Linked DNA regions of Arabidopsis thaliana. The protein of the gene in region 2 interacts with the protein of the main gene of each other region in a pairwise test. Each region holds a gene or a part of one and is shown on either strand. Other genes may lie near its edges. The genes, in order: AT3G26730, CPL1, TRM20 and RCF3.

What was found.
Region 1: the proteins of CPL1 (region 2) and AT3G26730 interact in a two-hybrid assay, tested with the Arabidopsis thaliana proteins (one study listed by BioGRID).
Region 3: the proteins of CPL1 (region 2) and TRM20 interact in a two-hybrid assay, tested with the Arabidopsis thaliana proteins (one study listed by BioGRID).
Region 4: the proteins of CPL1 (region 2) and RCF3 interact in a two-hybrid assay, tested with the Arabidopsis thaliana proteins (one study listed by BioGRID).

Annotation. Positions count from the first base shown.
Region 1 is NC_003074.8:9,820,919-9,827,967, forward strand, and holds AT3G26730 (RING/U-box superfamily protein), read left to right. Parts: upstream 1-2,605; 5' UTR 2,606-2,851; coding exon 2,852-3,065; intron 3,066-3,231; coding exon 3,232-3,281; intron 3,282-3,367; coding exon 3,368-4,678; intron 4,679-4,897; coding exon 4,898-4,986; intron 4,987-5,287; coding exon 5,288-5,390; coding exon of another isoform or gene 5,391-5,484; coding exon 5,485-5,589; coding exon of another isoform or gene 5,590-5,604; exon of another isoform or gene 5,605-5,754; coding exon 5,755-5,878; exon of another isoform or gene 5,879-5,961; coding exon 5,962-6,138; coding exon of another isoform or gene 6,139-6,155; exon of another isoform or gene 6,156-6,206; coding exon 6,207-6,352; 3' UTR 6,353-6,549; downstream 6,550-7,049. Other genes in the region: AT3G26720 (Glycosyl hydrolase family 38 protein), read left to right, coding at 1-53, 153-218, 329-441, 524-608, 759-869, 951-1,046, 1,137-1,184, 1,742-1,810 and 1 more; CCL (CCR-like protein), read left to right, coding at 6,950-7,049.
Region 2 is NC_003075.7:11,509,079-11,517,452, reverse strand, and holds CPL1 (C-terminal domain phosphatase-like 1), read right to left. Parts: upstream 6,465-8,374; 5' UTR 5,943-6,464; coding exon 5,625-5,942; intron 5,387-5,624; coding exon 4,910-5,386; intron 4,683-4,909; coding exon 4,472-4,682; intron 4,393-4,471; coding exon 4,235-4,392; intron 3,965-4,234; coding exon 3,897-3,964; intron 3,787-3,896; coding exon 3,681-3,786; intron 3,555-3,680; coding exon 3,471-3,554; intron 3,332-3,470; coding exon 2,726-3,331; intron 2,626-2,725; coding exon 2,562-2,625; intron 2,479-2,561; coding exon 2,348-2,478; intron 2,275-2,347; coding exon 2,221-2,274; intron 2,075-2,220; coding exon 1,978-2,074; intron 1,520-1,977; coding exon 1,305-1,519; intron 1,202-1,304; coding exon 1,115-1,201; intron 919-1,114; coding exon 853-918; intron 779-852; coding exon 705-778; intron 619-704; coding exon 531-618; 3' UTR 57-530; downstream 1-56. Other genes in the region: AT4G21660 (proline-rich spliceosome-associated (PSP) family protein), read left to right, coding at 7,681-7,902, 8,023-8,274, 8,360-8,374. UniProt on the Arabidopsis thaliana protein: Processively dephosphorylates 'Ser-5' but not 'Ser-2' of the heptad repeats YSPTSPS in the C-terminal domain of the largest RNA polymerase II subunit (RPB1). This promotes the activity of RNA polymerase II.
Region 3 is NC_003075.7:14,205,364-14,212,700, forward strand, and holds TRM20 (methyl-coenzyme M reductase II subunit gamma, putative (DUF3741)), read left to right. Parts: upstream 1-2,096; 5' UTR 2,097-2,397; intron 2,398-2,806; 5' UTR 2,807-2,880; intron 2,881-3,268; 5' UTR 3,269-3,276; coding exon 3,277-3,415; intron 3,416-3,538; coding exon 3,539-3,618; intron 3,619-3,714; coding exon 3,715-5,451; intron 5,452-5,541; coding exon 5,542-5,695; intron 5,696-5,783; coding exon 5,784-6,448; 3' UTR 6,449-6,687; downstream 6,688-7,337. Other genes in the region: AT4G28770 (Tetraspanin family protein), read right to left, coding at 6,814-6,855, 6,955-7,143, 7,222-7,326.
Region 4 is NC_003076.8:21,513,079-21,519,638, forward strand, and holds RCF3 (RNA-binding KH domain-containing protein), read left to right. Parts: upstream 1-1,817; 5' UTR 1,818-2,276; coding exon 2,277-2,966; intron 2,967-3,207; coding exon 3,208-3,651; intron 3,652-3,739; coding exon 3,740-3,988; intron 3,989-4,074; coding exon 4,075-4,323; intron 4,324-4,524; coding exon 4,525-4,595; coding exon of another isoform or gene 4,596-4,599; exon of another isoform or gene 4,600-4,627; intron 4,628-4,687; coding exon 4,688-4,796; intron 4,797-4,892; coding exon 4,893-5,019; intron 5,020-5,099; coding exon 5,100-5,119; 3' UTR 5,120-5,469; downstream 5,470-6,560. Other genes in the region: AT5G53050 (alpha/beta-Hydrolases superfamily protein), read right to left, coding at 1-144, 234-354; AT5G53070 (Ribosomal protein L9/RNase H1), read left to right, coding at 5,759-5,908, 6,049-6,183, 6,527-6,560. UniProt on the Arabidopsis thaliana protein: Acts as a negative regulator of osmotic stress-induced gene expression. Involved in the regulation of thermotolerance responses under heat stress. Functions as an upstream regulator of heat stress transcription factor (HSF) genes.

The DNA.
Region 1 (7,049 bases), on a different chromosome or scaffold from region 2:
AGACAAATGGAACATTTTACACAGACTCGAATGGCCGTGACTTCATCAAGCGGGTATTAGATGCAAAATTCATGTGAAGTAGTTTATTTTTATTTTTGTAACAAGGGGTATTTTGTTTTTATTGTAACATACTTTGTTACATTTTCTTGCAGATTCGGGACTTCAGAACAGATTGGGACTTGCAAGTGTACCAACCGGTTGCTGGGAACTATTATCCTGTAAGGCATCAAACCCATCTGAGATTCCTTCTCGTGGTGTACTAAGGTCTTGTACTAGACTGAGCTGCACTATATCTGGCCTTTTGTCTAATATATATATTTTCTTCCAGCTAAATCTCGGGATATACATGCAAGATAAAACCTCAGAGCTATCCGTGTTGGTGGATCGAGCTGTAGGTGGATCCAGCTTAGAGAACGGCCAGATCGAGTTGATGCTTCATCGGTTTGTCAACTAACTTTCTCTATATAACCAAGACAAGCATATGTTGTTTTGCTTGTATTTCACCTTTTTTTCATTCATGTAGGAGAATGCAGCATGATGACATTAGAGGTGTTGGTGAGATTCTTAATGAAACAGTCTGTCTCCCTGAAGGATGCAAAGGATTAACGGTAAGCTTAAGTTCTCATCTCATTTTTAGCTGTCCAAGTTGCAACGTATCAGCTTTTAAGGGAACATGTGACAGAGCTTGTTTCCAAGGTGGTATTAAATCGTTATAGTTGGTCTTATAACCGTTATGGTAACTCTGAATTGTTTTGCAGATACAAGGGAAGTTTTATGTACAGATAGATAAACCTGGAGATGGGGCAAAATGGCGTCGAACATTTGGTCAAGAAATTTATTCTCCACTACTTATAGCATTCACAGAACAGGTTGCTCTTAAAAAAAAAAAAATACTTACTTCCCTCCAGTTCTATAAGATAGTGAAGTGAGATAAGGTACTTTTTTTGTAGGAAGGAGATAGTTGGATTAATTCACATAAGACGACATTCTCAGCGTTTGAACCGTCATATTCATTACCAAAAAACGTCGCATTACTCACCCTCCAGGTTAGTTGGATTGTGTACTGTATACATGTCAAAGACGGTTTTTTATTAGTTTGACCACACTCACACTATGATTAATTCTGACATTTTCAGGAGTTGGAAAATGGGGAAGTTCTTCTAAGGCTTGCTCACTTATTCGAGGTTCTTACTTGTCCTCTCTATGCGTTTCCACCGTTAATAATGTGTTATAGCTATGTGCTTTTTGGTTGTGGAAATGTAGTTTAACACTAGGCCGATTAAACTAGCAAATAATTAGAGATATAGAAAAACTTGTATTACTCAGAAAACCCAAATCTTGCAGTGTCAGGAAACCAGACAATTAGTTGTATAGAGTTAGTTCATAAAACCAAACCGTAACGTTTAGGGTGTATTTTTCACCTAAAAATCAAACTGTTTTCATGTTTATACTCGTAAAAAGCTGACTATGCGGTTGATCATCGTGCTATGTCATTTGGTTTTCCTTAATAGTTCCACATGTGAAATAAGATGAGACCTAAAGTAATATAGAAGGGAGATGGTCAAGTCCACTAATTGGTTTTAAATTGAGAACCCATGAACTTCGACAGTGTTGCTTTTTTGGTTCACTAAGCAACGGGTAAAATCTAATGTGGAATTTGATAATTATTTTCTATCTCTTCTCTTAATGGTTTCATCGAAGTTGAGTCCTTCTGAGTTACTGTCTTGTTAACCTTGTGAAGGTTGGGGAGGATAGTGAGTACTCAGTTATGGCAAAAGTAGAGCTCAAGAAACTATTCCACAACAAAAAGGTTCGCCAAAAAAAGACGACCCTTCTCTTATTTGTCTCACTGTATGTTAACAAAAACAACTGCCGTTCTGTTTTTAATATGTTTTGAACAGATAAGGGAAGTAAAGGAGACAAGTCTTTCCGGGAACCAAGAGAAGGCGGAGATGGAGAAGAGACGGCTAATCTGGAAAGTAGAAGGCTCGGCCGGGGAGGAAGTGAAGAGAGGAGAGGCGGTGGACGCAGAGAAGCTAGTGGTTGAGCTTGTTCCGATGGAAATTCGAACCTTGTTGATCAAGTTTGATGATCAAATTGAAATGGTTGGTGATAAAGAGCAGCAACATAGGTTATGAAATAATACACGTTGTTGTTGTCTTTTTAAGTTTAATCGGAGAAGAGAAAAAAGTTTGAATTTAGTGTCTGATGCGAGTTTAAAATTCGGGTGATTGCAACAGTCACGAGTGCGATCCCGGTAGGAGTATCGCAATTTCTGCATTAACATTTACGTTTGCTAAGGGGTGGGCATTTTAACCGAACCGAACCGATCCGAACCAACCGAACTCAAACCGACCCAAACTAAACCCGGATTAACACTAAAATTATTCGGTTAGGCTTCTTCTCAACCCAAATAGTTCGGTTTAAAAACTTTCCTATCACGACAATAAATTTTGTTTGGTGTTTACATAACCGAATTAATCGTACCGAATCCGAACTTAAACCGAAATTCCCACCGTTAACCTGGCTATACTGAAACTATATATATACGTATATATATATATATATATACATGCGATGTTGACAAATGAACACAAAAGTAGATAAACTCAAACCGGTAGTTATTACATTAACTGTGTAATAAAGATTCGGTATATCCCACCCGCGAAGAAAAGGAATCATATCACGGGTTAACGAATCCGGGTCGGGTACACGGAGCAATCATAAAGAAGAAACAAAAACTACGACGACAACTTTTTTTTGGCCTTGGTTAAAAAATTTTCATAAGTGAACACAGAAGAAGCGGTGGCTCTGAGCCGGCGAAATCTCCTTTCTCATCCCTAAAATTTTCATGTCCATCTTGCCTCCTCCGATTATCCAAGGTCACAATTCGTCTTCTCCTTCTTCAGATTCCTCTCTAAACCCTAGCTCTGAGCATGGCAACAACTCTTCTTCTTCTCTCTCTCCTCTTCCCTCCTCTCCTCCTTCCCGGATCTCTTCTTCCACCGGAACTCGATTCTCCGGACATTCTGAATCCTCTCACAATTTCTCCGGTGGCTCTAGGGGTAATGGAATTGATTGATTAACTCAGCTGCTTGATTTTGCCCTAAATTTTAGGGTTTTTACATTAAAAGTTCGTTAATTTTGTTGAGTTTTGATTTGGGTTTTTAGGGTCTCTTTGAAAAATCTTAGCTTTTTCTCTAATTTTTTATTCTTTCTGTTAAACTGTAGAACCGAGTGTTGCAGCTGAGGAGGGACATAGCCGTGGATCTTCCAAAGAGGTAAACTTTAGATGCTTCTCAGTAAATGATGAGACTTTAAGTCCTTTTTTGTTGAATGGTCCGTTACTTTTGTTTCTACGCTGCAGATGACACAAAATGGAGCAGGGAAGGAGAGTTTTTCCCCACCTAATGCAGATAAGCGTGACCATTTTCGATATGATGGTCGAAGGAATAGGTCTAGAGGGAGAGGTACTGGAGCTGCTGGTTCTTCTTCTTCTCAATTGCAGCATAATTCCGGACCTTTTAATTCTCCTAGAGGCGGTGTTTCGCATCATAATCCAACTGGTAGAAGAGCTAATATGATAAGTGGGAATCATTTACTGAATTTTCAGTATGATCCGATTTCGCAACCGCAATCTAGGGGTCCTCCTCCGCCTCAAAGAAGGCAACAATATAAGGGGAGGCCTTTTAACAAGGATTTGTTTCTTAAGGCCAATTATAAGTTTGTTGTGTTGGACACTGGAGATCATTCTCCTGATTCAATGGATCCTGATAAAATGCTGCAGTGGGATGATATTATTTGTGTAAGGTATTCTACTCCGTCTCCTGTCCAGTGTCCGATTTGCTTGGAGTATCCTCTATGTCCGCAGATTACTTCCTGTGGGCATATTTTCTGTTTCCCGTGTATTCTACAGTACCTGTTGACTGGTGTTGATAACCACAAGGTGGACTGCTTCAAGAGGTGTCCTTTGTGCTTTGTGATGATTTCTCCAAGAGAGTTATACACTGTTTATATTGAGAACGTCAAGCAGTATTCTGTTGGAGATCCCATCGAGTTTGTACTTTTGACTCGCAAGAAAGATTCTTTTGCTCCTACCCGGAAAAATGAGCATGACTTGGCTGTTCCTAATGGTGAAAATGAGATATATGATCCGTTCTCAAAGTTCACTTTCACCCAAGATGTTGATCTCTCTGTCAGACAAGCAGTTTCAGAGTTAGACAGTTGGATTGCAAGAGCAGATCCTCAGCTCGTTGAAGACTTGGAGAAGCATCTTTATGTAAATGCCGCTTTAGAGCGTTTGGAGCAGAGAAAATTGTACTGGAATGAGCATAAGCTCTCTATTTACAGCAAAGTGTGCACAACGGCTAGAAATCAGACTCAATCATTGTCACCTCCTGATGTTTCTCGAGTTGGTTATCAAGCACCCATGGGGGGCCATGGAGCGCCAGATAGCGGCTCCAATGATCAAGATAAATCAACTGAAGATTCTTCAGCGGATAAGTCAGATGGAGAATCTCAATCAAGTTTGGAAAAGGGTTGTGATAATGATCTTGGTCATCCTCTAGAAGATCAAGACGCACCGTCATCTTCCTCATGCAATGGAAGTAAAGGTTTCCTGTCTCACCAAATTGACACCAAAGACCTGAAGGACAACGACGCGTACAACTTTTATCAGGTAATCAGTTTCTGATGCATACTGTTGTGTTTTCATAAAGTACTAATGAGCTGCATGATGATTGTTTTATTGCTATGGGCTGGTCAATCTCTATAATCTGAAATAAATGTTATTATCTGTTTTCGATAATCTAGGTGGGTTTATTAAATAATTGTGGTGGTTCTATCCATATATGCTTAATTTGTCTTACCTTTGTGCTCTTGTTGTGTACCTATACAGTCTGTTGATGGTCAGCACATTATCCTTCACACTTTGAATGTGAAGTGCCTTCTGCATCACTATGGAAGCTATGACTTTCTTCCACCAAGGTAAGATTCCAGGTCGTTTATGCATCACAATTCTCATTTTTCAAAGACTATGGAATAAGTTCCAATGGGATCTTCTTCGTTATCTAATCATTTCTGCATGTATTTGGGATGCTGATTCAAAGTGTGATATATGGCACTTTTCGTTGATTAATCAAGAACCGTTCGTATAAAGATCCAACTCTTATTTAGTATGAAAATCAGAACGGACAATACATTCAAGTAAAAACGGTTCAGTACAAGATGTTATCATCTCTAGTTTGTTGTTCTAATAGACTTCTGATTTTGATCCATTAAACGGCAGATTGAGTGGAAAGATACTGGAAATGGAAACCATTACCCAATCAGAAGCGATAAGGAGACGCTACCGCTTTTTAAGTCATTTTTCTTTATCAACTACACTTCAGGTATATTTTCTCTTTGTTGCTCCTATCTTCTGCATGTGTTGCTATATCTTGACATTTTCTCATGAGGTTATCCTTGGTTTGGTAATCTTTTCAGATATGTGAGATTGATATGAAGGAATCCTTGCCTCCTGATGCATTTGCTCCATTTATACATGAAATTAAGAAGCGTGAGAAGCAGCGGAAAGAACGTGCTTGGAAGGTATTCTCGTTCTAACCATAAAACACAACCCCACGGTCTACTTCATCTAATATCTTTCAGATTCCAACTCCTATTGGCTTTGTTTGCTTTGTGTCTTATTCTCCTATGTATTCCTTTGTTTAAGGAAAAATCAGGACTTAAGATCATATGATGTTCATATTTCAGGATCGAAAAAATAAAATCAAAGCTGAAGTAGCTGCAGCTGCAGAGCTTGTACCATTGATGGCCAGTTTTGGGCAGTCGTCTTCTAGTGATGACTTTCCCCCATTTTCCTTGGATGACTTTGAAGGTAAACAAGAGGAATCTCTCGTCTCGTAATTGGATTTTAGGTTTATTGATCTAATAAGAAGCTTTTGTTGTGTCTCTCTTAAGCTCTGGGAAACTCTGCCCCAATATCATCAAGCCCTCCAAACATTGGAGAGAGAAGTTCCTTCTCACATGTGACAAGGCTCGGTTTCGCAGCTGGTCACGACTCCCCAAACCTGAATAACGAGCCAACAAACGTTCAAAGCAGCAGCAGCAGCAGTGAAGTCTCAAACGCAACCACAGGTAACCACTGTTTTTAGCTCTGCAAATTCTAAATAGGATTCTCGGATGACCTCTAAACATGGTTTCAGGTGCAAGAAACACAAACATAACATCCTTTGCGAGTGTAGCTTCAAGAACAACAACACCAATGGCACCAACCGTCAAAGAGCCCGGTAAGAGAGGGAAGAAACAGAGCCGAGTACTTCTATCGACAACTAGTGTACGCCGTTACTGAAAAGGCCTATGGATTTGTGTATGTATAATAATCTTTTCATCTAAGAAAAACTGAGTAAAGAAAGAACCAGAGATTATGGTGAGTGAGTAAGTGTAAAACTCAAACTTGGGCTTTGTTTCTTTTTGCAACCCATGTGACTGATAATGAAGGTGTCTCTCATTACTACTAGTCTACTATGCCATTTAGGACAATTATTGAGACTCAATCATATGATCCTCTTGACTCAGAGAACTAGAAAAAAAAAGATTGGATAAAATTTCTTCCAAGAGTGATTTTCATTCTCACATGTTACAACAAAGCATGAACCTTATCCTTTAAAAAATATCTTCTTCCTTTTGTTCAAACTTTTATCTTCTTTGTCATAGAAAGTTTGGACCACTGATTTTAGTCCGTTGGATTATCAATTATTGACCTCAATAATATCAAAATTTACTTCAATGAGAATAAGATTACAATTTTTTATTTTTTTTTGAACACCAACAAATCTGCTTCTTCTCTGGCTATAAATAAAGCATAAACTGTTCCAAAAACAGAACCAAAAAATATCTAAAATCACTAAACCTATCTTCTTAACCAAAAGATCAATAGATTACAAAAATGCAGGGAGCTCTGTTTATCAAACCAACTATTCTTCTTCCTCTTCCTTCTTCAGTTTCTTCTCCAAAACTCACTTTTCTTCTTCCTCACGCAACCAAAG
Region 2 (8,374 bases):
TAAACTGGTCTTATTGTGTTTTTATTTTTGGGTTATACTCTTGTGCAAAGTTTAGTTGATGTTTCTCAATAAAGGATAAGTTGATTCCACAGTTCCAACACATAGTTTATGTAACTTTTCTCATAACCTTTGAATCAGTCAAAACCTAAACACTTACTAGTAGAACAGTAAAAATTTACAATATTAAATCAAGCTCTTAATGTTGTAGTGAAAACAAGGACTGTTAACTATGGAAACTGCAGAAAAAGCTTTGTGGAAACTTAACAGCCTGAGAACAAGCTAAACGTTCATCCTTAGGTCTTATCTTTGTGGCCACTCGAGCTGATGCTTCAACTCAAGAGTTTCTATGATACAAAAATCGCGAACCGCCTCAAATTGTTGTTACATCAATACAAGAGAGGCAACTCTCGCTGTCTTGATCATCATTTGGCGAAGAAAGGAACTTGACAAAGAATTCGTCTTGGTAGCTGTTTTTACCAAGAGAATGGAATTAATGTAGAATGTGGTTCGTTCTTCACATGGTTTTATTTTTAAGAGTATCTTCCCGAAGATGGCATCCGTTGCAGAGACCGTTGAAAGTCCGGCTTTAATCGCTTGTTTGACATCCCACCAAATGATCTAAACATCAACAAGAAACCGGTTTTTAAAATATATCAACTGACATTTTTATTTTGATAATCATATAGATATAGTCAAGAACAAACCGTGGAGATCCTTGTCGTTTATGCAGAGGTTGACCAAGCATTGATCTCACACTGGACAGTGCTCTCTCAGCAGCCTAAAGGTAAGAACGTCAGAGAAGGGAAAAGATGGGATCAGAATAAACCCGAGGCAAGAATTTAGTTGAGTTACCTGCATTCTAGCTTCGTCCCATGTCGATCCAACTCCTTCCCCTACAACACGCCCATCTATTTCAACCTGAAATATATTACAAAGAGTATCAAGAGGGGTCTACACTCTAGATACTTCAAACCAATTGAATAGATATGAAATATACTGATGGCCCTGAAGAGAAAATCATGAATCTTTCTCTTTTAACTGAAAATTGTCTATCTTAGATTTTTTTTTTAAAAAATTTAACACTTCTGTGTTCTAATCTTTTAGGGGTGCGAACCTGAGCATGTAATTCATCTCTGTGGACCATGTCAGATGGAAGCTGACGCTGAGATTGAAAAGCCATCTCAAGACCCTCCGATGCACACTGGAATTTGGTTACAGATGAATCAAAGATGAGAAAAAACAATATGTGAATGTAAGCAAGCAACCATATCAATCAACAGTATCCGCACTAAGGAGATACATACCAATTCCCTGAGTGCAGTAATGGAGCCAGTGTGCCTCATAGAACCTTCTAATCTCGGATCTGTAGGTCTAGAAGAAACTGGCAACGCTGTTTCATCTCTAGCAAATGGCTGATTATTAAGCGCATTTGCGTTTCCCATACTTATATTTTCATTGGTGAAGGGGGTAGCATCTCTGTGGCTGGGCCCTGGGTCACCATTTGCACGCATATATCCATCTGCAAAAAAAGGAGTAAGAACTCAAGAAACTGGAAACAAACGAACAACAATGAGTTTAAAGCCTCATTATAAGAACAATGTGAATGAAGCCGACCAATATTAAACCTGAGCCAACTGCCACAAATCCAAGATAGCTCTCACCCTTGTAAAGGGAAGGGACCCACAGTTTTGATATCATAACATACTGACACGCAACCGTTTGTGGTGGCAGTACTCATACTCATTGATATAAACCCATTTATGAGGACCAACACGAAGCTACAATAGATCTATTAATATTACAGACTAAACAGATTGGTTGAAAAATTGAGATCTACACCCAATATTGTGAAGATGGTTTAGAAACATCAAACAAATAACATTCACCCAATATAGCAGATTCAAACAATCTATCTCAAATAGTATCTCTGCAGACAAAGATTAAGACACGAGTAAATCATGAGTCAGAAAGTCTTACCAGCTAAATTCTGTATAGAAGCTTCAGCAGCCTTATGCAGGGCTTCTCTTCTCGATTTGCCAATCCCTTCTCCAATTTTTTGATTAGAAAGCCAAGCCTGCAAAAAAAACATAGATTTAATGTACAGTTGACACAATCAACAAAGTAACCTCACTCAAAGGAAATATAGGATCTCAAAGAGCATAAGGTTCCACCAAAATTACTGACACCATACAAACAGATACGTCTAAGAGCAATACGTACCTCAACAGAGAACCGCAAATCTGTACTAGAAACTAAACTTGGTTTGTACTCCACCTACAATGTCATGGAATAATAACACATCAACTCACGTATGGAATTAATGGTAATCATGATGATATTTACATACCTTAGCTCCACATTTGATAGCAATTCCGTGTAGAACATCAGCTGAAGTCTCCGTTGCTGAGACACTTCGTTCAGGTAGGAAGTCAAGATCACTGTTCCTAGAGGAAGATTGATTCCAAGACGCATCCTCCCCTAGAGAGTCCATCCCAATACCCAAGTCAGTGATTTATCTTCAGAACAAAATGATACAAGAACAAATAACTTTGATGGCTTACCATAGAAAGGATGAGAGTCAGGTAGATTGTTATTTGAACGTAACTGTTCATCTCTCCGGAGAGACTGCAAATATATCACAGTGAGCACTAAACGTCGTACAGCAGTATAAAGACCAAAAAAACTGACAACTGTAAAATCATAGGTTAAATAAGATTAGTGGTACCTCCTTTGGCGGCCTGCGATTCTCATGAAGCATCCTGTCAGACTGAGTTGAGTTATCAATCTTAGAAAAAAATGATGGATGACGAGGCCTGTGCTTTTCCATATGAATCATTTCAGAATCCAACGGATATTCTTTTGAGACTGCTCGACGAATTTGAGCAGGATCCATCTCCTCCTCAACAGGAAACCAGCCATTTCTTGATTGCACATGTGAGGGTGGAGCTTGAACTGGAGGTCTCTGAGGAAATGAAGGTTCACTTGGAGCAGGATCCCTAGTATCTTGTCCATGCTGCAATATGAGGAGTCTCCTCCTAGTATCTGGATCTAATTCTGATTCAGGTACCTCACCTTCCTCTCTAGCAGGAGAACTCTGCAAGCTTGGTTCTGAAGGAACCAAGTGTTTAGCTATTGATGTCGGTTGTTGAGGTTGTTGAAATGGAATACTTGGAAAGGCCATAGCTGAAGGTTGTATTGCTTGTTGCACGACTTGTACTGGTACTGGAACTGAAACAGAAGAAGCAGAAGCCATGGGGAACTGAACGGGAGCAGCTATCCTCGGATCTATATTTGCCGCCGGAAGGACAGCTGAAGATGCAGAAATTGCCTCCTGAATAAAACGGAAAAATGTATTTGAATTTCAACATTGGGCAGAAAATTTAAACCAGAAGCCATGTTTACTGGAGTTGGCATCTTTAATGGATCACCACAATAACTCAGTAACAATAGAGCCTCAAAATGTAAATCACCTTCAGTCTTCTCTCCACTTCAGTATCAGCCATCCCGTCAAAGGAAAGTGGATCTTTGTTCCCATTTAAACCCGATGTATCATCCTATATTGAAAAAAGAATGAGTTACTGGGAAGCAGTTTCAAAGGTGAGTAAAATAAGCTCCCAGACTGCCTGGAAGAGAACCAAAAAATTATCTACTCCCAATCGCTAACAAGTATCACGACTAACCTCCGACACCAAATAATGGCTGACATCAGGCGGAGAAGGAATATCCTCAGCATCATTCTCATAAGAAATTTCAGCAATCCTTGGTAGCAGACTATCATCAAAATCCCTGTAACCAAGTTCAAATACCATTTCACCGTAAGTATGTACTAAGGAAGCACCCTTGATCAGTAGAGATGTCAAGAAAACAAACTACTATTATCAAATCTGACATCTTACCTGAAAAATCCACCTCTGACACCACAGGCAACGTTCCTGGCAACACATAGTACTGGTGTTGCAGCAGCCTACAAGAAAAGGAAACGAGCTATATGTGACACCATTTATTACTGAAAAGTCAAGACTATCACTTCTGGTAGAAATTGTGCAACAAACCAGGCCCACAAAGACCCCTTGCGTAGAACTCACCACAAAGCTAGCTTATGTTAGGTCTTATAAGGCTTCATTTGTTCCATTCTAAATGACTTGTGATTCTTTTGATTAATAATATTCTTATCAAATTCACATGCTTCTGCATTTTTCATAACCAATTTCAACTAGGTAAAAATTATACTTACTTCAGCTTGAGGAGAATAATAGGGAGCGAATGCAGGAACCACATGTACCCTCGGCTGATCCTTCTCATCCCAAACTTTCAATCGATCATCAATTACCAATGCCATCTTTGGATGGCAGGTTCCATCGAGAAACACATTGAACAGTGACTTTTTAAAACCTGTGGTGGTTAATTACAAGCTTGTAAGAAGTTTTACCATGATGAAATATAAGCAGGTATAAGATACCAAAAAGTATACCAGATTTCACACAAACGATGCGAGCAAGCAAGTCATTTGTGTTTATCAAATTCCCTTCTGGATCAAGGAGCCTCCACATCTCTAAGGCGTAATCTCTTTCAGCCATCGTGCAAACATATACTTCAAAACGCTTACGCCCTTTTGCTGTCAAATAGCTTCGAAGTTCCTCCCATGAGGGCCTCATTCTCACAAGAACACTTGTATCACGAATCTGTGTGTAAATATAGGAATGCAGATTCAGCCACAAGAATTCAGAAAAATCTAGGTGCTCCAGAAAGGAGCAAATGAAAAATAAAAGGTTATACCACAAGTATTCAAGGAAATCCACCACACAGCACACCACCACTTATTGTCTTTTAAATGTGTAGTAAGCACTAAACATATATGTATACGGGGAACAGAAACTAACAGACATATACTGATTCAAGACTTGCATACCATTGGGTTAATGCGAGTCAGAATAATATTCTTCTCTTGCAACCTTATCAGAGGGCGAACAAGAGGCTGATGGTTGTCAGACAAGGCAGGAACAATTTCAGATTGCACCTTTATCACCTCCCCGTTTTCAACAACCTGGTCACTTTCAATATATTGCTTCAATAGATTTTTGTCATCTTGATAACGCTTCATCTCAGCCACTATAACGGCAAGGCGTTGAGGGTCCATCTCGTTGTTTATTCTCCGCTGAAACCCGTCAATCTTATCCTCAAATGAGCGCATGGTATTCGCCACTACAAGGGTTTCATCAAGATCAAAGACAATACCCAGACATCTAAGATTCAACATAACAAGACAGGAATCGTAAATTCCAGGAGCAACACTAAATGCCCAGAAACAAGGACGGTCATTCTTGATATTTTCCGAGTACATAGCAACCAAATGGAGCTCTTCTCCACCCAAGAGCATTACTGCTGTCTGCAAGAAGCAAAAATCCAAAACTCACAAATATGAGGACAATTTGTAACATAACAAACAACACAAGATTCAAACCCCCACTCTACTAAAAGTTTCTAAAGCCCCAAACTTGATGCAGCTCTGACATTAAGGAAGTTAAATAATGACACAAAATCCTATTTATCATTAAGTGTTTTTGAGTTTTAGTTGATAAAATCTAAGTCTGAGTAAGGCTTAAAGGTTCGTAAGGTTTAGATACCTTGTTGTCCCTGAGACAGGACGAGTAGAATAAACTGAGTGACTCCTGAGCTGGAGAAGGTGAAGCTTCTAATTTGAAACAAAGGCCACAAGATGAAATTGTAGTAAGTATTGCAAGAGGAGGACACCTCTCGCCAGATTGAGAAAAGTGGCTTATTCTGATTCCCATCTTGGCTAGCTCCATTACTTCCCTCTGTTTCTTCTTCCTCTGCTTCATCACATCATCTTGTTGCTGATTCAATTCCCTTGAAGGGTATATCTCCAATTCTCCAAGTCTTCCATCACCATGAAACACTTCTACTCTATTATTACTATACATACTTTCTTTTCTCCTTCTCCTTCTTAAAGTTTACAGATCAATGGATGTCTATTGTCTCATCTCAAAATTGGTTCATCAAAATCTAAACTTTTTGTTGTCCCTTGGCCAGAATTGATAGATTGATCACCAGTCCACACTAGTTTATGAATTGGATCCGAGTTTTTTTCTTTAGCAAGAATCAGGAAAACAAAAGGAAGATTTTTGATAAATGGGTAAATAAGAGAAAGAATGAAAATTTAGTGTTTGTTCCTTAAGATTTTGTTCCCTTTGAATATAGATCTGTAAAATACCGATGATGAATCCACAAAAAAAAACCCTAGTTTCTTTCTTCTTCCTTGGTTGATGATGAGTTTGTTTGTGTATCTGGGAAAAGTTTATTAGGTTTTGTGGCGTTCTAAAAATCGAGAGAAACCCTAGATCCAGATAACGAAGAGTCAAGATTGTGAATACGGCATTATGCCTTTGTCCTTGGTTTTTTTAAGGGAAAACAAAACACGAAGGGCCCCTTCATTTTCTTTAACCGTTCTTTTTTTTATTTATGTCTTATTTTAAAAACAATTAATACTATTTTTAAAAATTAATAAAAGCCTGAAATAGTTTTTATCAGCTCAAAACCTGTCAAATTCTGTTTTTTTTTCGATTCATACCGTACTTGTAATGTACTTTTATACTTGTGTTTCTGATCTCATGTTTTGATTTTTACAGTGTCAAGGATTCATATACCACAAGATATTTATAGTTCATCTAATTCTTTTTTTTTAGAAGATTATTTATTCAAAAGACATGATATTTTTGACATATACTTGTCTCTTTATTTGTGAAATATTTTTTATCTACCAAGCATGAATATTTTTTCACATATATCTTTCCCCTACTCTTTTCAATCTTTTCCTTATAAAATAATAGTTTAGTAAATAAAAAATGATTTATTTTGTTTTCTAAAATACACAACTACGTAAAGATAATTTTTTTTTATAGACAGTATTTTTTTCCTTGTTTAAAAATAACCGTTACGTACAAAAGCCGTTACAAAATTCTTTCCTAATGTCTTTTTTTTCCGTGTTCTTTCCTAATGTCTTATGAAAACAATTTTGAAACTAAAAAGGCACAATGTATATTGTTCTAATTGCATAATAAACAACCGATAACATACACCGGGAGTCGTGCTCACATTAATAAAATCTCAAAGTGAATAAAAATTACCTCAATTCATGTAAAAACTAAATTTTTACGAATAATAAACTAAAACATTTAAATTTTATTAAAAGTTTTGTTGTTAGTCAGAGAATTTTATTTAAATCTCAAATACCCACATATATACAATTTTGATACTTATAACTTTCTTCAAAATTTCAAGACATTGTGTAAACTGTAATTTTATAATTTTAAAAGTTCAATAGAACATTTTTACGAATAATGTAGAGTTAACTCGTGCCAACATTTATAGTAGTGTTTGAATATTGTTCCATACATTTCCTTTGAAATTTTCTATTAGTTACTAGTAGATGGTCTTCTACAAAACAATTCTTACACTCGAAGAAAAATATAAAGTGTTGGGCCTATTGGCAGATATATTCGTCTTCTACTTATATGGGCCTTATGCCAAACCGGAAATAGAATCAGAGAGAATTTCAGCAAACCGACTCTTGTTCATATACGTATATCCTCGATTTCCGTCGTTCTTCCTTCTCCTCTCAATCTCTCTTTTCACATCACCGATTCAGAGAGAACACCGAATATGACCGCCGATTCAACCGTCGCACTCGTTCATAGCGTCGTTTCTAACGGTGATGTCTCCAACGGAAACACCTCCGCTTCCTCTAAGAAATCTCGTGAGATTGACCGTCGCCGCCGCAGACGGAAGCAGAAGAAGAACAACAAAGCATCCCAAGCCGATGTAGATGCATCGGACGTTTCTGCTGCTTCTGAATCCAAAGAGAATACAGATCCCCAGCCACAGGTTAACTTTGTGCTCATCTTCTCGTACTCGATTCATGGAGAGGTGTTCTAGGGTTTTTCTTAGGGTTTGTGATTGTTTATCGTTTGCTGATGATTTTTGGTATATGTTTCTCTTTGATAGGTTTGTGAGCAGATTGTGATAGAGTATGTTCCAGAGCAAGCTGAATTTGAAGATGGTTTTAACGATGAGTTTAAGGAAATCTTCGAGAAGTTCAACTTCCGCGAACCTCTTGCCTCTGAAGAAGACGGTACGAAAGATGAGTCTGAGGAGAAAGAAGATGTCAAAAAGAAGGTTAACTCTGATTCTGATTCAGACGACGACGAGCAGGATAATCAGAACAAAGAGAAAGGCATCTCTAATAAGAAGAAAAAGGTATAGCTCAAACCTTATTATTACCTCTCAATTTGTTTTATTGCATTCTTTAGATTCTGAATATTCTGAATTTCTGTTTCCTCAGCTTCAACGGAGAATG
Region 3 (7,337 bases), 2.7 Mb from region 2:
TCTATAGCTCTCTCATTTTCTATTCTGTTTGTCATTAGCATTATGGAACAGATAAAATATTGGAGATTACACGTTTGGACAACAGTTATTAAAAATACAATCTAACTGGCGTGTTCCCCTATTTATGTGATTGGCTGCGCTGTTTAGTGGACCCAACATCGCCATGGCGTTTAATAAGTAATAACAAAAGTTACAAGACTAACGAATGATTTAACGTATAATTGGTTTTAGTGTGAATAAATTCTACGAAACTGGTGATAGTTTGATAATTTAGTTGCTAAACCAGTATCGTGAACCCGAACCGGAGGGAAGATGATAATGAGAGTATAGATGGACTTAACCACGTGGAATGCTATGGCTTGTCAGTGATTTTGGTTATGCTAAGGGTCCCGTCACTATAAACTAGCTATATTCGAAGGTACACAAGGGCCTCAAAGTTAGATTTCTAATCATAAGATATGAAGTTATTAGTACTCTTTATAAATCTTCATGAAAAGACATCCGTATTTCATCCTTCTTTTCATAACTATCTTTGTCAAATCTTATTTATTTTATAAAACCCAAAAACTGTAAATCTTTATAAAATATTGTAATTTTCAAAGATTTAGTTGTGTCAAATTTATTTCTTCAGTAAATGGAAATACAGGTTGGCAAAAAAGAACATTAACCACTCTATGTTGAGCGGCAATATCCGTTAGGTGCATTAATTCTTCTTAAAAAGGTAATTACGCATTTCCTTGGTTCGATTCGTCTAGGGACTTAATAGTGTGCGAAATATTAGAGGATCCAAATGATGCGTAAGATAAGTCTTATGAGAAGTCCATTAGCCCTCGTAACTATGATTTTAGGTACTAGTAGAAATTCAATTGGGTATATTTGGTGAATTCTAGAGCTTTATAATTTTGTTATCGTTTAAGGCTGATAATGATGAAGACATAATGTCATGGCTCTATGTTTTTATTGCTCTTTCCTGTTATTTTTTTTATCAACTGATATTAAAGAATATATACATTATATTGGCTGGTCCATTTCAGTTTTTCTTTTATTTGGTCCCGATTTGATTTTATGTACATAAAACATGTAGAACCAATAGTAGTGTGGTCGTTATCTTTCTAATAATCGAAGGCTCGAAACCATATATTGATTCTTGGTTAGCGTATCGTCTCTTTTATGACTGCATAATTTACATGGCTTGCCTATGTGTTACACATTATCTCGATTTCGATTTCACGTTCTTGGTAACATATTAAAGAATTTAGTATACGAAACAATAAATTGCATGGGGAAACCGATATTCATAACCAACGATAATTTGACAACACAAAAATGGATCATCATTCGCCATTGCCCACTCGGCCATACATTAGAAGGACAAGTTATATTTATTTGCTCTCTGTGAATCTAATTAAGTTTTTTACTCGTCAGTGGGAAACATATAGTAATTGTTTTGTTTGCATTAAAATGAAAATGTATATATATAAATAAAAATGTACTGATATATCTACTATAGTAGACTTAGTAGTAATTGTTGTGAAAGTAGCAGAAACAAAGGATATGGTTGTTGTAACATACCAAATTTTCATGAAAGCATTCATTGTGAATGTGAAGTTGAGCGTATCTATCCGTGCAACCAAAAATAGAAAGAGATGAAGTATATGATCATAATCTGATTTCTTTTGCTTTTAGCACACTAATCATTGAAGTTTAAGCATCACATCTCTTTTCTATTTTCCTTTCCTTGACAAAACTTGCGAATCGTTTTGATGTTCCATACGTCTTTTGCCATCATTCATACATAAGTACCAACCAACTATTATTAAACTTTTATTTGTTAATTATACACAATATTGACTATATATATTATTATTTTTACCACAAAAAAAATTTAAAATTTAGACTATATAGTACCAACCAATATAGTATTAATTTTTTTTTATTTTTTACAAAAACCAATGAATAAATTTGATTTTCCGAATGTGGTTTCTTAATTAAATTTATATTATTTCAGTTCCAATATTTATATATATAGATAATAAAAACAAAAGAGATAAAAGAAGAGATATTGGAAACAAAAGAAAATGAATAATTGAGAGAACACAAAAGAGGAAGAAAGAGAGTGGAGAAGAGAAGAGAAGAGAAGAGAGCAACTTCCTCCATTTTCTTTTGGCTTCCTCTCTCCTTCTCGGTTTGTTTTGTCTGTACCTGAGAGAGTTTCCCCTAACAAAAAAAGACTCTTTTTTCCTCAAAATCCATTTCGCTTCCGACGCCATTCTCAGTCGGTGTGAACGCGTGAGAGAAAGAGAGAGATTTGGCTTACTTTATCTCCGGCGGGCATCTTTTTCCGGCGGAGTTTCCGATGTATCTACTCTAGCTAAGCTCAGCTCTTAACTGTTACAGGTCTCTCTCTCTCTCTCTCTCTCTCTTCCCCCGAGTAAAAAAGCCACAAAATGTCTGAATCATTTAGCTCTGATCTCACTTTCCGATGCTTTTTACCTATTTTCTCGTTTCGATTTCTTTGTTTGCTTTTCACTGTTCTTACTTCAATTAGATTCTGATCCCTCTTTTTACCCTTTCTCTCTCTCTCTTTCTCTGCTTTTGCTTTTACTGTTTCCTTACAATTGTGATTGTATTGAGCTAATTTTGGTCGGATTCATTTACTCTTCTCTTTGTCAATTTGCTTGTTTTTGTTAAAGATGTGACATTTATTACTAAAGGTTTCTTCTTTTTGGGGGAAACAAATTTGAGTTCATAGATAGACTTACTAGAGGAGTGTTGTATCACTGATGCTGGAATCTGGTTAATGTAGGCAGATCCACAGTGCCTGTTGATTGTTTCTTCCTATCATCAATCTCGGAATTTGAGGGGGTCTTATTATTAAGGGTGAGTCAATTTTGATTTGTAATTTTCACAAGGAGTTTGTGTTCAGACTTCAGAGCATAAAAAGTGACTGGCTTGATTGTGATAGGTCATGTGAAAAAATGGTAACTGGTTCATCTTATCTTTTGTTCAGTCACTATAAAGTGTCCCTCTGATTACAGAATCTTATTCTCCTTTCTTTTTTTCCTTACAAAGTTCTTGTTTTGTTATGCTTGTCCTGTTCCTCTTTGCTGCTAGAAATATTCTCTTCTTCTACTCTCTCTTCACTTTTCCTGGATCTTTTAGGTTTAAATTTTGAAGCTTGCAGAGCTGGAAAGTTTCTTCATTAGGAATCTTTGCTTGTTAGTTTCGTGTCACCTCAGATAATAACTAAATAGCTGTGAAACTGCAGGGACCATAATGAATGAACTCCGAGGCAGAAAGGCTCAAAAGATTGAAAGTCCAGTTCCAGGATGCTTAGGGAAGATGGTTAACCTATTTGATCTAGGAATTGCTGTTAATGGGAACAAGTTGCTTACAGATAAACCACATCTTGATGGTAATCACTAGTTCCCTCTGTAATTGCTTTGTTCACTAGTCGAAGCTTTCTGTTATGTTTCTGAACTGAGTAGGATGTCCTAGTATCCACCTGTGTTATTGACACGAGGTAGTTTCATGGCAGGATCCTCTCTGTCAAGAAGTCGATCTGATGTGACTCGAATGCCAGGCCCTTCTTATAAAGGCCATTCAGAAGCTGAATTGGTACGTTTGGTTAAATAATTAGAAATAGTATGCATGCTAGCAACAGCGATTTTAATATTCAGAAGCTGAAGTCTATTGCCTGCACTGTTTGCACAGATTATGTCTGATTTGAGGAGAAGTGCTTCTAGCAAACTAAGTGGTACACCGATGAAGAAACTCATTGCTCGAGAAATGTCAAAAGAAGTTGAACATAAACAGAGCCCAACTAATGTGGTTGCTAAGTTGATGGGTTTGGAAACACTTCCCCAGACGCATCAGGAGACTGCTACACAGCGAAGCAAATCCAGAAGCAATTCACACTCTTCTCTGAATCATTCGATGACTTCTACAGATAATGAGGTTCAAAAGTATCAGGATTTCAGTAGGGAATTTAAAGATGTGTATGAAACATGGCAGTCACCTCAGAAGGTGAGTCGCTCAAGGGATTGCTCGCCTAGAAAAGGAAGATATGATGAAAGTACGACTGAGAAACAAATGGCTCTTGTTCGTCAAAAGTTCTCAGAAGCAAAACGCCTTGTAACAGATGATAGTCTTCACCAATCCAAAGAGTTCCAAGATGCACTTGAAGTGTTAAGCTCGAACAAGGATTTGTTTGTTCAATTTCTCCAGGAATCAAATTCTTTCTCTCAGCAGAATCTTTCTGACTTTCACCATGTTCCTCCTCATTCAGAGGCGAAGCGGATCACAGTATTGAGACCTTCAAAGGCTGGTGAAACTGAAAAATATGTGGTTCAAGGGAGGAGGAACAAGCAGGTTAAGAAATTGGCTTCATCAAGTCAAGAGACTGGATGGGGGAACCGTGATCTGGGTTACCCGTCACCTTATGTCAACCGGGGAACCGAAGAACACACTGTACAGCCAACCCGAATTGTCGTCTTGAAGCCTAGTCTAGGAAAGTCTCTAGATATTAAGGCTGTATCATCATCCCAATCCTCTCCAAGGGGTTTACACAGTAGGGGATATTTTGATGAGCCTGAAGATGTTGAGACTAAAGAAGTTGCAAAGGAAATTACTCGTCAAGTGCGCGAAAATCTGATGGGTCACCACAGGAACGAGACTCAGTCTTCTTCTGTCCTATCCAATGGCTATATCGGTGATGACAGTTCTTTTAATAAGTCTGATAACGAAGATTTAGTGGGAAATCTTAGCGATTCTGAGATCATGTCACCAGCATCTAGGCATTCTTGGGACTGTCCAAATAGGTTTGACAGTCTTTTCTCTCCTTCCTCTTTCAGCAGAGCTTCATTTTCTCCAGAGTCATCTGTCTGCAGAGAGGCGAAGAAGCGACTTTCTGAAAGATGGGCGTTGATGTCAGTATCGGGAAGAACTCAACCGCTTAAACATGTTTCAAGAACCTCAAGCACCTTAGGGGAAATGCTTGCACTTACAGAGACCAAAGTGACAACTGAATCCGGGGAAGGGAGCTATGAAATAGTACCAGCAACGAGGGTATCAACATCATGCATAACTAGTGATCTGAGTCAAGTGGAAATGGCAAGTGATTCTCTGAATATTCTTGCAAGGTCAAAATCAGTCTCTGACGTTAGACTCAACGGAGAAACATCTGTTCTGGGGAGTTCCAAAGTACAGGCTCCACGAGAGCTGACTAAGACGGGAAGCCTGAAATCGTCATGGAAAGTCTCAAACTTGTTCTTCTTTAAGAATAATAAAGCAAGCAAGGAGAAAAGAGATGCATCTCAATGCAGCAGTATGTCTCAATTGGCAGCGCCTTCTCCTGTGACTCTTACCGGAAAAACCAGCGAAGATTGTGTGTTTCCTATTGATTGTCTCCCTCCTGTTTCATCAGAACAGCAAAGTATAATCCTAGGCGAGGTATCCCACCAATTCTCTAAACCTTTTTCAATCTATTCGAGGTGGATGAATATTCATGTTAAATCAGCGGCCATTTTGATCCATTTGCAGGAGGAAGTGACTACACCAAAGCCCCTAGCGACTGGGAATACAAGTGAAAACCAGGACCAGCCAAGTCCAATTTCGGTTTTGTTTCCACCATTTGAAGAGGAATGTGCCAGCATTCCAGAATGTTCTGGGTCAACCAAGCATTGGTCATCTCAAGGTTAGTTCTCTGCTTGCTTAGCTTTCTCAAAGAGTTTTGTTACCCAACATTCCTTTTACGCTAATCCAAAATGTTCCATTCTCAACAGGAGACGAAATGTCTCTTAAATCTAATCTAATCGACAAATCACCACCAATCGGGTCAATTGCTCGGCTCCTCTCATGGGATGATGACTCTTGCACTGACAACATAGCTAAACCCGCAATGGGAGTCCATGAGGAGGAAGACTGGCATCTCTTCATAGAAATGATCTTGACAGCTGCAGGTTTCAGCAGTGGTTGCATAGTCTCTCATGACCCCATCATGTCACGATGGCACATGCCAAACAGTCCCTTAGACCCTTCACTCAGAGACAAATACACCAACCCGGATAACAACAACATCAAGGAGTTCATCCACGAAGGCAAACGCAGACAACAACGATCAACTCGTAAGCTCATTTTCGACCGCATCAACTCCATCGTTTCAGAAACAACGACTACACGCACAGGTAATGGTTCTCTGCATTTCGACCTGGTGGAGCATGTGTGGGCTCAGTTAAAGGACTGGGTTTCAGATGAGCCTAGCAAGCGTGACTCAGGAGAAGACATGGACGCCAACAGTTTGGCTGCAGAGAGTCTAGTGAAAGATGAGATAGTCGGGAGGACATGGACTCATAGCTTGCAAGTTGAAATAGATGACTTTGGGATTGAAATTGAAAAGAGATTGTTGCAAGAGCTAGTAGAGGAAGCCGTTATCGATCTTACACGATGAGATGAGACAGGAGCAATATATATACTACGTTCAATAAAAATGTAAGATAGTGCTAAGTTCATTTTTTTTTGGTCTATGGGAAGATTTGTGTCTCGATTTTTTTGTAATGATTGAGAGAGAAAACAGAATGCTGTGTAGCCATTGTTGAAGCAGAGCAATAAGCAGTTGTTCCCATTTCAAACACAAATCTCGTAACTCTTTTGTACACCAAAATGAAAGCTATGTTGCGATCTAAACAGAGTTTCGAAAAAAGTATCAAACGATAACATAAATGTGTAAATATCTATGCACACTCGAAAGTTAACAGAGAGAAGAACCAAACCAAAGTACTGATAATTCCAGACACAAGAACTCAGTCTTTTGAGTTAAGCTGATGGAGTGTGGCTCTGACTGTTGATCAATCCGTACTGTAGAAGAACAAGAATATAATGACAAATCAATTCACAAGCTTAAATCTTTGGTACTAAGTTCAAAATCAAACGACCAAGAAACTTAGTTTTTTTTACCTTCTCTCTGATTCGGGACCTCCAGTTGTCAATATTGCTTGATCCAGAAGATGTCTGGTTTGCCTGTGGACCAAGAAGATTGTCTCGTGCTCTACTCATCGGATTCTCAAAATCATCTTCATCATCAAGCTCTGATTGCCGAGGTGAAACCATAGCTCTCAAAACCAAAGCCAGTAGCAATGACAGTAACTGAAACACATACTCACATATGAATACTGAGTGAATCATGAATGAACTCAAAGGCACCAAAATCAGTTAGTTAGTTACCTGGATGGCTACCACAACAATTCCGACCCATTTGCAAATATCGATGTTTTCTTCGATGAAAGCTCGAAGACTATTGAGTTCTCCAGTTGGATCATAAGGAAGATCCTACAGAAACA
Region 4 (6,560 bases), on a different chromosome or scaffold from region 2:
TACCACGATTATCGAAAGCGCAAACCTCGATGCCGGAATCATCGGAAACAATTCCTCCGTCGTCGTCATCATCGTCGTTGGGTTTATCCGTTCCCGTCAATCCCATGATTTGAGGACCCCATGACTCATGGGTTCCGGCTAAACCTGAACAAAATTAGAAAAACCCAATTGAAATCAAGCTCGGAATTGCTAAGGAAACTAATCAAATGGGAAAGATGGAGATTACAACAGACCTATGATGAGAAGAGCTTTGATAGGACCATGACCGTACGTTCTGTAGAAGATTTTGATTGCGGCATTGTTAAGCGTCGTCTCTGGGCCGACATCTTCTTTCACGACCTCGCAAAACGGCATCGCTTTTTTTGTTCTCAAACTCTGATATCTGGGTGGGATCAGATTTTGAATAACCGGAGAGGAGAAGAGGAGAAGAAAGGAAAGGACTTTTCTATCGGAAGAGAGAGAGATTGGGTCTGTGGTGTGGTTCGGTTCGGTTTTTTGGGTGGAGGTTAGGACTGCCACGTAGGATTGGTCGGCTGGATTTTATTGGCGGGTAATATCTAACAAAGGTCAACGGTCAAATTTTTTACACGAGAAAACTATGTTGTATAGAAATATAGCACGTGAAAAACGCTAGAAGTAGAAGTAGTACTACGTCAATGGAATTCATATGCATCATATATAAGAGAAGCGATAATGGGTCTGAACACAAGTGGAGCATTAACCTAAAACAATAGCAACTTAGACCATTTGTTGAAGTAGTCACTACACTATTTTAATCTCCGGTTCAATTTGTTGAACTTTATAATGTTTTGCTATTTTGATCCGCGTTGCTTTATATTATATTGGTGTGGTTTCAGGAGAAGACAGATCGAGACACAAAACAAGGCAAGATCGTTACTGACATTTTATGCTGGACACTAGATAATTGTTCACCAGGACATGTGATAATAAAACCTCCATGACTTCGTGGCTGCTTTTTCATTATATATAGTTTAGGTCACCATCTTGTCGTAGCACAACCTGAAAACGCAATACCTTCTCCTGAAACGGAAAATATTTGTTGGGAAGACCTATCATTTGGAAAGTACTTATGCCCGTCAAGGCTCACAATTTAGACGAAACGATCCACCAACAACTTAAGCTTTGAGTCTTTGACCATAAGTGCGAGACGATTTTCTTGTATTGTTAATTTGTTATTGCTTGTTTTTGTGAACTGATCCTTAGTTTTTTTTTTCATCAAAAGTGATCATTTAGTTAAAGACTTAAAGTGCAATGAGAGTTTGGTTTCTTTATTTTTAAACTCTTGAAAAATTAATTTTGTCAATGAAGCAATACAAATTAAATTGCTGAAAAGGGATAGTAAATCGTTTTTTGTCCTTACGGATTGGTGATGAAAATGGTATTCAACGGATGCAATACTTAGATGCACCAAATGATTTTTACCATATGCTAAACTTTAACACTAAACCAATTATACTTTACCTGGTAAATATTAAAAGGATTTTTTGTTTTCCAAAAACAGTTTTAGTATATGTACTTAATTACATAATACCGCGGTTAATAAATAGTTAAAAATTAAATTAGAAAAAAACACATACGTGTCTACAGTTTTAGTCTCGTACATAACACGAAAAATCATCTAATTGGTTACGTATTAATCATATCATTTTTACCTATTAGAAAAAAATTATTTATACATTTTTAGTATCTACTAATACGTTACGTGAGCACAAAAATTCATCTTCATCAGTGCTAATAACTATGCGAAAATCTGATGACGATTCATTTGTCTAACAATTTATTTAGCTTAATACGAGTTTTTAAAGATGAAGCATACCCAAATTTCCCAAGAGACCAAAACGACAACGTTTGGGAGTAGCTAATATCGTAGTTAGCGCACGCCACTAACATCACCCATTGCACGGTCTCTCTCTACTCTCAAACTTCAAAAAGCTTTGGCTTTTTAGATTCACAGGAAAGAACCCTCAAAACACACAAAAAGCTGGTGATTTTTGCATTGCACCGATTCGCCTCCATCGATTTTGGACATTCTTGAATTCTCCCTCCAAGTATTCCTGTGAAATTGACCGGAAAGTTCCTTCCTTTTTCAATTTCCGGTAAAAAGGAAAGTAATTGGGTACTGTAGACTTCCTTCTAGGGCTTGTGAACTTTCTAATCCTTCAGAAAACCCTCGAATTCGAAAAATTTGCTGCGAGATTGATAAATGACTAGTTAAAGATTTGAACTTTGATTTCTGGGTTTGCGATTTTATTCAAATGGAGAGATCTAGATCCAAGAGAAACTACCACTATGACCAAGACTATGACGGAGATTCCATGCCTAGGTCTAAACCTCGCTACAACAATAATTACCACTTTGGTGGTGGCGGCGGAGGAAATAACAGATACCGTGGCGGCGGCGGTGGTGGAGGTGGAAATGGCCGGCCATCGAAGTCTCATCCTGAAACGATGGCAACAACGACTTATCGAATCCTCTGTCACGACGCTAAAGCAGGAGGTGTTATTGGTAAATCCGGGACAATTATCAAATCTATAAGGCAACACACCGGCGCGTGGATTAACGTGCACGAGCTAGTTCCTGGAGATGCAGAGCGTATCATTGAGATTTCTGATAATCGTAGGCGTGACCCTGATGGGAGAATGCCGTCTTTCTCTCCTGCTCAAGAGGCTTTGTTTAGTGTTCATGACAGGATTTTGGAGAGTGAAGCTCAGTTTGGTTATGGTGGACCTCCGCCGGAAGAGGAGGAGGATTACGGTGGAGTTAGACCTGGTGGAGGGAGAGTTGTGACTAGATTAGTGGTTTCTAGGATGCATGTTGGTTGTTTGTTGGGTAAAGGTGGGAAGATTATTGAGCAGATGAGGATTGAAACTAAGACTCATATTCGGATTCTTCCAAGAGAAAGTAACTTACCTCGTTGTGTTTCACTCTCTGAAGAGATTGTTCAGGTCTGAAAAATTGCTATTTTGAGAACATATTTGAAATGGTGAATCTTGTTGAGATTTTGATATGAAATGTAGTCAGTTTATTGAAATGCTAGATAATTTAAATGTGTGATTGTGAGGTTGAGGTTGTTGACAAGAGTTGAATCACTCTTATGTAGTTAGCTTGGTCATTATTTGTTATGTTTAAGCTTTCTTTGGTGTTTTCTACCTATGGGAAATGCATTTATAATGTTGGTTCTTTCAGATTGTAGGTGAACTAAATGCAGTGAAAAACGCTTTAGCCATTGTATCATCTCGTCTAAGGGAGAGTCAGCATCGTGATCGGAGTAATTTCCAAGGGCGTTCACATTCACCAGAACGGTCGTTTGCAGCTGCGGGGGATGATTACATGCCACAGCTAAGAAGACAATCATCCGATAGGTTTCCTCGTGGTAATTTTAGAAATAACAACTTCAGTTCTCGCCAGTCCAACTATGCAGAAGAAGCTCCAGCAGTTCCAGTTGGTGAGAATGTCTACTCCGAAGAGCTTGTGTTCCAGATTCTCTGCCCAGCTGACAAGATTGTTCGGGTTGTTGGGGAATCGCAAGGAATAATTGATTTGCTTCAGAACGAGATCGGCGTGGACGTTAGAGTATCTGACCCAGTTGCTGGATCTGATGAACAGATAATCACCATTTCTTCGGAAGAGGTACTCTAAATACCCTCAGATCTTCTTCAATATTATCTGTTACATTTACAATTGTGAACTTGAAGTTTTGTATTCTTACTTTGCTTAGGCACCTGATGATCCATTTTTCCCTGCTCAAGAAGCCTTGTTGCACATTCAAACTCAGATCATAGATCTTATTCCGGATAAAGATAATTTAATAACAACAAGATTACTTGTCCCATCTAGAGACTCTATATGTTTGGAAGGGAAAGCAGGATCAGTATCTGAGATATCACGATTAACTGGAACAAGCGTACAAATTCTAGCTAGGGAAGAAATTCCCCGATGTGCTTCTATCAATGATGTTGTTATACAGGTATGTTTGTCTATTTTTGAGGAGTCGAGCATTTTCTAAACAACTTCTGGTCTCAAAAGAGAATTCTTATGTGAATGTCGATGTAGATTACTGGCGAGATCAGAGCTGCTCGGGAAGCACTTGTTGAATTAACATTACTATTGAGGAGTCATATGTTCAAGGAGCTCTCTCAAAAGGAGACACCACCAGCTTCCACATCCACAACTGGCCCTCTCGAAGGTGTTGCAGGAGTAATGGAGGTAGCTTCATCAAATAACACAATTCAATCTCGTGAAGGTCCTACTAGTTCGAATCTGAACTTGCAGCAAGTTAGCACAATCTTGCCACAGTTTAAGGTTTTTGTTCTCATCAACAATCTTTTCAATATAAAGGCATCTGTAATCAGTTAGGGTCAGACTTATTTTTGCCATCGAAACAATGTAATATTACTATCAGGCTATGCATAATTACCTGAATACTTGGAAAGTAGTCTATGGTTCTTGTCCATTCGTGCAATGTCCCTATATTTACATATATTTTTCTCTTGGTTTTTATAGGAAGGTTTCGGATCAGTTGCAAAGGCGGGTGAAAGTGAACACCGGGAAGAGGTTCCTGTCACGACAAGCAGGTAGAGAAACTCCCAAATTTGATATATTTTCCCAAAACCGTACAAGTGCTTGTTTCACACCTTTCCTTCCTGCTTTTTGTTTTTTTCTCTAGAATGGCGGTACCACTTGTTACTAGAAGCACTCTTGAAGTTGTCTTACCAGAGGCGGTTGTTCCTAAGCTCGTTACGAAATCAAGAAACAAGCTTGCACAAATCAGTGAGGTAGAACTCTTTTTAACTGGAACTAGATTGGTGCAAATCATGACTCTAATCAAAATCTTTGACGCTTTGTCTTATCTCTTTCCCACTTGATCACAGTGGTCTGGAGCTAGTGTAACCATAGTTGAAGACAGACCAGAAGAAACACAGAATATCATTCGAATTTCGGGTACACCCGAGCAAGCAGAGAGAGCTCAGAGTTTGCTTCAAGGCTTCATTTTGAGCAGTAAGTTTCTCTCTTTCCAAACTTTTATATCCGTATTGTACTGATCTATAAGTCTGATTTCCGTTCCTTGTTTGGTGCAGTACAAGAGGATGGACCGTGAACTTGGACCAGATCATCAGTCAACACAGAGATGAAGATCAAGAAACTGAGAAATGTGGAGTTATGTATGACTTGTTGAATATTAGGATTTCAGTAAGCAGTAGTTTAGATGAACATTCCACATTTTGACCATCACTCTTTGGTTTCTATGTTGTCTATTAGTCTTCTTTGTTTACATTGTTCTGTAACTTATTTAAAAAAGTCATTAAAGTTTAATCCGAATGACTAATCATTAAAGACTCATCTTTAATTCACACCACCCCTATGTATATTGGAAGAACTTAAACGCTGCGTTTCACTTGAGTTAACATCATTGAGATTGGGGTGTTTTTGCCCTAGATAAAGTTTAGGGTGAAAACATAGATAAATCTTAAGTCGTATTTTACAAAAATAGCCACTGCTAAAACCTCACCTGCGGCTTCACCTTTCTTCGAGTTCGTGAAAAAGAGACGTCGCATCGCACCGCCGTCGCCATTTCCACCGTCGTAGCATTGCCGCTTCACTGGTGATTGATTCTTCCTTAACTTCTCTTTTTGTTTTCTCTGTTCTCTTATATCCGTCGTTTTCTAGGGTTTTCTCACTCCTTGTTGTGGAATCTCTCTTTGTAGACTGTCGCACTGAATATTGTTGAATCGAGAAAATGGCTTATGTTGGGCAAAGTAGAAACGTGATTCGGCATGTAGTCTCGAGAGGAACAGCTTATCACAAGTATGAAAATGCGATTCATCATCCTCTCCTTTTCGCTTGTCAAGGAGTTCGATACAGAAAATTAGAAGTTATTCTTACAACGGTGAGGTTTAATGATTCTGAAAGGCATGATTTTTATCGTTTGATTTTGAAATTTCCTTCACATTTCGTTGGGTTGAATTGAAATCAGATGGTGGGTTTGTTTTGATTTGTCTTGATCTTTATCTGATCTGGTTTTGTTAGGGCATTGAGAAGCTTGGCAAAGCTGGTGAGACTGTGAAGGTAGCTCCTGGATACTTCAGGAATCACCTTATGCCAAAACTTCTTGCTGTGCCTAACATTGACAAGTATGCTTATCTCATCCGAGAGCAACGCAAGGTACTAGGCTCTTAATTTTGCAAAATAGATTTAGTCTGATATTAGGTCGTACAATGCTAGTGGTTTTCTCCTCTTGTTGTTGTGGTATCTAGGTTGTGATCTTGATGATGTTTAGTTCTTGATGTTAAGGGTAAAACAGATACTTTTGACATAATGTGATAGTGATATGGTATTGAAACTATTTTGGTTTAGTGTTAGTGGCTTCTCCTTTAATTTGATTTCGTGATGGGAATGTCTTCAGATGTAAAGGGAACTGCAGATAGTTTTGACTTTCCCTGATAATCATTATGGTATCACAGTTAACTTGGTAAAGTGTTTGATTTCTTGATGGGAATATATTCAGATGTATAATCATGAAGAAGTAAAGGAGGAGGTTA